Kluyveromyces lactis: one gene and its partner. The protein of the gene in region 1 interacts with the protein of each later gene in a pairwise test. Links are inferred from orthologs where the notes say so. Each region holds a gene or a part of one and is shown on either strand. Other genes may lie near its edges.

What was found.
Region 2: the proteins of KLLA0_A03905g (region 1) and SEC4 interact in a two-hybrid assay, tested with the Saccharomyces cerevisiae proteins (4 studies listed by BioGRID, with this or other methods). The link is inferred for Kluyveromyces lactis from reciprocal best matches to the Saccharomyces cerevisiae genes MYO2 and SEC4.

The regions. Positions count from the first base shown.
Region 1 is NC_006037.1:347,586-351,525, reverse strand, and holds the start of KLLA0_A03905g (myosin family protein), read left to right. Parts: upstream 1-1,055; coding exon 1,056-3,940. Other genes in the region: FRT2 (Frt2p), read right to left, coding at 1-286. UniProt on the Saccharomyces cerevisiae protein: Myosin heavy chain that is required for the cell cycle-regulated transport of various organelles and proteins for their segregation.
Region 2 is NC_006041.1:1,074,007-1,076,643, forward strand, and holds SEC4 (Rab family GTPase SEC4), read left to right. Parts: upstream 1-1,292; coding exon 1,293-1,937; downstream 1,938-2,637. Other genes in the region: proteasome activator BLM10, read left to right, coding at 1-927; VTC2 (vacuolar transporter chaperone), read left to right, coding at 2,418-2,637. UniProt on the Saccharomyces cerevisiae protein: Involved in exocytosis. Maybe by regulating the binding and fusion of secretory vesicles with the cell surface. The GTP-bound form of SEC4 may interact with an effector, thereby stimulating its activity and leading to exocytotic fusion.

The DNA of each region.
Region 1 (3,940 bases):
CCTGACATTTGAACGAGCCATCTAATAACGCATCACTAAACCTTAAAGAACCACACGTAATATCGTCATGGTAAATGTTTTTATTACTGGCATGATGAGACGGATTGAATTCGGTCAAATCCCCCATCTGAGTCTTAGAATTGATCGAAGCACCAGATTTACGACGTTTCCCATCCCAAGGGACTCGTAGATCTGCGGCATCATTCTTATGAAATACGGACCCGCGGAACAAAGGGTTAACCTGGGATCCAATATGGTTGGTATGTTCACGATGGCTAACCTCCATTAGACTTCGAATTTTTGAGTTTGAGTTTGAGTTTAAAGTTCCTATTCACAAAGTAATCTCCTCAGCAAAAATATTTCAACTCTAAAACCTCATTCCATGAAATATTTTCGTCTTTACTCGCCACGAAATGAAACCAGGCTGCTATCTAATTCTTATTTGATAGCTGCGCCTTATCTCCACCTACCGACTTCCTCTATTCATGTTGGAATAGAAATTGTCTGATGAAGAGACGAACCAGGAACGCTATTACCCGGATAGTGCATGTGATTTACACGTGACTAAAAATCACCCTTTTAAAAGGCTAATTTGAGGCCCCATAAGCAAATATTCGCCCCACCAAGGCGAAAATATCCCTACAAGTTTACCTCACTGCATGCTTATCCGTTGCTGGCGCGCTGACGCGAAAGGTTGAATCCCTGCTATTTGTTTAGTCCACTTAAAAAGCTCTTGGGACAACAGAAGGGAAAAAAAAAAAACAAAAAAAAAGTGGGATCTTTTGAACAACAAATATATATCTTATTTGATTTATATGTGTTTTATTTAGATTCACGAGTTTCAGGAGAAGAGTAGAGCGGAAAATACAGGGAGCGAGGCATCTGACACCGTGTATCCTTGTGACTAGCAGTACGAAGCAATAGGAGACTGTTTTGATTTTAATTGCCGTGTGTCATTGCAGATTCAATTGAGTGCTCGTTGGCTTTTTCTGATTCAATTATTGGTTATTTGATTTGATCTTAGATTTCAGGTTTTAAGCGTTAATCAGCATAGGATGCCGTACGAAGTCGGGACTCGCTGCTGGTATCCCAGCAAAGATCAAGGATGGATCGGTGCTGAAGTTACTAAACATACCTTGCAGGGAGATTCCTATAATTTGGAATTGACTTTGGAGGATGGACAGAAAGTAGAGCTTTTAGTGTCTTCTTTAGATGAAACCAAAGAGCCTAGTTTACCCCTACTTAGGAACCCTCCAATCCTTGAGACTACGGAGGATTTGACGTCATTGTCATATTTGAATGAACCGGCAGTTTTACATGCTATTAAGGCCAGATATGCCCAGTTGAATATCTATACTTATTCAGGGATCGTGCTCATTGCCACAAATCCCTTTGATCGTGTGGATCAACTATATTCTCAGGAGATGATCCAGGCATATGCAGGGAAACTTAGAGGTGAATTGGAACCACATCTTTTTGCTATCGCAGAGGAAGCGTATAGGTTGATGAAGACAACAGATCAGAACCAAACAATCATCGTTTCTGGTGAATCCGGTGCAGGTAAGACTGTTTCGGCTAAATATATTATGAGATATTTCGCTAGTGTGGAAGAAAATAATGAGGAAAACGCACATCATAATTTGGAAATGTCTGAAACTGAAAAGAAGATATTGGCCACTAATCCAATCATGGAAGCATTCGGTAATGCTAAGACTATTAGGAATGACAACTCTTCCAGATTCGGTAAATATTTGGAAATTCTCTTCGATGACGATACTTCAATCATTGGTGCCAGAGTGAGAACATATTTGTTGGAACGTTCTAGGTTGGTTTTCCAACCGAAAACTGAAAGGAATTACCACATTTTCTATCAAATATTATCAGGTTTATCCGACGATGAAAAATCTCAGTTGAAACTTACAGACATACAAGACTACCATTATATGAATCAGGGCGGTGACTCTCATATCGAAGGTGTCGATGACGCCTCTGAATACGGTGATACTGTGGAAGCATTGAGTTTGGTTGGTATCTCAAAGGATACTCAATTCCAGCTGTTTAAAATCTTGGCGGCCCTTCTTCATATTGGTAACATCGAAGTTAAAAAGGTCAGAAATGATGCTTCTTTGTCATCTGATGAACCAAACCTACAAATAGCGGCAGATTTGTTAGGTATAGACGCTTTTGATTTCGCTAAATGGGTAACGAAGAAACAGATCGTTACCAGGTCTGAAAAGATCGTCTCATCCCTACCTTACCACCAAGCCATAGTTTCTCGTGATTCTGTGGCGAAATTCATATATTCAGCATTATTCGATTGGTTAGTGGACAACATAAACACCGTGCTATGTAACCCTGAAGTGGTAAGCGAGATATATACTTTTATCGGTGTCTTGGATATCTATGGTTTTGAACATTTCCAAAAGAATTCTTTCGAACAGTTCTGTATCAATTACGCTAACGAAAAGTTGCAACAAGAGTTCAACCAACATGTTTTCAAACTAGAACAAGAGGAGTACGTAAAGGAACAGATTGAATGGTCGTTTATCGAGTTCAACGATAATCAACCGTGTATTGACTTAATTGAGAACAAAGTTGGTATTTTATCATTATTAGACGAAGAATCAAGATTACCTGCTGGTACGGATGAAGGATGGACGCATAAACTATATGAAACTTTGAATAAACCTCCAACTAATGAAGTATTCTCCAAACCAAGATTCGGCCAAACTCAATTTATTGTTAGCCATTATGCATTGGACGTCACTTATGATGTAGACGGATTTATCGAAAAGAATAGAGATACAGTTTCTGATGGACATCTTGAAGTGTTAAAGGCTTCTAACAACGAAACTTTACTATCTATTTTGGAAACTGTTGACAAAAATGCGGAAAAATTGGCAGAGAAACAAGCCCAAAAGCAAGAAAGTCAAAAGAAACCCGGTCCAGCCTCAAGAAAAATCGTAAGAAAACCAACTCTAGGATCTATGTTTAAACAATCGTTGATCGATCTTATGGAAACTATCAACTCCACTAACGTTCACTACATTCGTTGTATCAAACCTAACGAAGACAAAGAAGCATGGAAGTTTGACAATCTTATGGTTTTGTCACAGCTTAGAGCATGTGGTGTCTTGGAAACAATTAGAATTTCTTGTGCAGGGTTCCCATCGAGGTGGACATACACAGAGTTTGCCCTCAGATACCATATATTAGTACCATCAGAGCTTTGGTCAAATATTTTACTATCGGATCCATCTGAAGAAGATGTAAAGAACTTATGTAAGGAGATCCTGAAACGTACAATGGATGATACTGCAAAGTATCAGGCTGGTAATACAAAAATTTTCTTCAAAGCTGGTATGCTAGCACATTTGGAAAAGCTAAGAACCGATAAGTTATTCTCATCCTCTGTCATGATCCAGAAAAAAATTAAGGGTCTTCACTATCGTAAAACATATCTACGGACTGTCGATGCAATCAAAAGGCTACAGGCAAACGTTAGTGGTAAGATCATAAGATTAAGAACTGAGAACGAATTCAAGAATAATGCAGCTCTATTGATTCAAAGTGCCTATAGAGGTATTTCTGTGAGGGATAACGTTTCCAGTATAATCATCAGCATCATTAGAATTCAATCCATGGCTAGAAAGCAAATTACCTGTAAAGAGTTATTGGAAAGGCGCAGAGGCGATGCCGCTGTTACGATTCAAAAGAGCGTAAGATCTTTCCAACCAAGAAAAAGTTTCCTACATGAGAAGAAGGGCACCGTGGTCATCCAATCTTTCATTAGAAAGCACTATGCTCAAAGAAAGTTAAAACAACTAAAATCGGAAGCCAAATCCGTTAATCACCTACAGGAAGTCAGTTATAAACTTGAAAACAAGGTCATTGAATTGACGGAATCTCTTGCTTCTAAGGTAAAGGAAAATAAGGAACT
Region 2 (2,637 bases), on another chromosome or scaffold:
GGTCCAATTGAGATCAGAGAAATCCCAAGCTGGTTGAGAGAGAGGGCTATTAAAATCTTCAACGAAATTGAAAAAGAAAGATTGTTGATCAAGGACCTACCCGCTCAGGACATCTTGAAGACTAGGTATTTCTACTTGGCATCAACTATGTTCTATTGGGCTGCTCATTTAATCAATACTGGTGCTAGAGTGTGTCTGGGTCCATTTGCTAAATGTTATTTGGCACCCTTCTTGATGAAGTTAGACAGAATGAGAGATGTTTGTAAAATGGTCAACATTAAGGTTTACAGTATTTACGTGGAACTTGCATACATTCCAATAAGCCGCACGTTGTTACCTGACATAATTTCGATCTTGGATGACACAGATTTGACTAGCTCTCATGAATTACGTGTGAATTTGACTTTAGCAGAGAAACTTTTCTCCACACAATCGTTGGTTATGGACCATGCTGGTAAAGTGAAGATCTTAGAGTTCGTTTTGGACAAATTGTTCTGTAAGAGTTTTGTAGAGGTTCGTCTCAAGGCTTCCTATGTCCTTGCCGGTATCGTGCATAACATATCTTATGATACCGATACTTTGCACACTCTCTTGGAAAACTTCAAGCGTCAACTTGGTTCATATACTTTCGAGGAGAAAGCTGCACTCTCCAAATCCAACACAGATATTCACGGTGCGATCTTGGGTCTCGGTGCCATCATCGAAGCATTCCCGTACGTTTCACCGTTACCAAATTGGATTCCAGAGAATATGGCACTACTAGCGTCCTGGGCAAGAACAAGCGGTATGTGCGGTGCTGATGCAAAGAACATCATCTCTAGATACAAGAAAGTTAGAGCAGATACCTGGCATTTGGACAGATACCAGTTCACCTCGGAGCAATTAGAAGATATGGAAGGTGTTCTTTGGAGGAGTTACTACGCCTGAGAAGTTGCACAATCGACACAGATGACCCACAAGCTGCGTATGCACATGAATATATATGTACATCTACAAGTATAAATCGTATAATTTAACTTGACATTGGGTATGCCTATCACCATATACGAATTCGATCAGTATCTAGATTTTGGACAAATATTGTTTGAAAGGGTGAAAGCAGGATAGCCATCACGAAAGGCACTAACCCAAACACTTTACGGCCGAGCTATTAAAACCCAGATTCTGTTGACCAGATATAACCAGCTCGCCACTCCTCCAATATATCGAGATAAAATAACAGTGTTGAACTGTGATATCAATTTTTTTCACTTAATTGAAGCGTGAAGGAAACAAGGGAGATTGAAACTATAATGTCTGGATTAAGAACGGTTTCTGCTAACGGCAGCACGAATAAAAACTATGATTCTGTCATGAAGATTTTACTTCTAGGTGATTCCGGTGTAGGTAAATCATGTCTTTTGGTTCGTTTTGTTGAAGATAAGTTCACACCAACTTTCATCACCACAATCGGTATCGATTTCAAGATTAAAACCGTAGACATCAATGGGAAACGTGTGAAGTTACAACTTTGGGATACTGCTGGCCAGGAACGGTTCAGAACCATCACAACCGCATACTACAGAGGTGCCATGGGTATTGTATTGATTTACGATGTTACTGACGAAAGAACTTTTGAAAACATCAGACAATGGTTCTCCACTGTTAACCAACATGCTAGCGAGGATGTAGTAATGCTGCTAGTCGGAAATAAAAAGGACATGGATACAAGAACCGTGTCTTACGAACAAGGTGAAGCTCTTGCTAAGGAGCTAGGGATCCCATTCATTGAAGCCAGTGCCAAAGACGACACCAACGTCAGCGAAATCTTCTTCACATTGGCCAAGTTGATCCAAGAAAAGATCGATGATGGTAAGATGGAAGGAAAGGCTGAAAAGGAGGGAAATGTAAGCATTCGTGGCTCAGGCTCTTCAGGCTCCAAGTCCAATTGCTGCTAAACCACAGATCAGAGCGTACAATAAGAAATAACAACCTATGCATTGGCTTTGTGTGTGTACATATATATATATATTCAAATGGTATGTATTAGAAAGTTCAAAGGTAACTTTACACGACCATTCCAAATCAGGTGATTTACACGTGACGTAAATAATCACATGACCATCTCCACGTGCCACTCAAGATCAATATAAAATTGCCCAACTTTCCCAATATAAGGGCATCGATGATTATATAAAGAGTGCATTAGAAGGAAATGCAAATAAAGAAACAGATATAAGGATGGACTTAAAGATTTTATTTAGCCAATAAACAGTTGGGTAGATTTCTATTTTCTTGTTCAGCTTCCTTGTATCTTGAATTGAGAAGTGTAATCCTGATCACCATCTTCAGCTTTATAACCAGGAAGGGTTGCTGTTTATTATAACCCTTATAATATTGTCAAAAGAGGGATTTGGTCTTTTTAAATTCAAGGCACAATGCTATTTGGTGTGAAGCTAGCTAATGATACTTATCCCCCATGGAGGGATTCTTATATCGATTATGAGAAATTGAAAAAGTTGTTAAAAGAGTCCGTTATCAGAGACTCTGAAATGTTCAATGGTTCTTCTTCTGGCCGTGGGAAGAAGGGGAAGAAGGGGAAGAGTAATGTAGATGAATATTGGAGTGAGAAGGATGAATCCAAATTTGTTTCCGCGT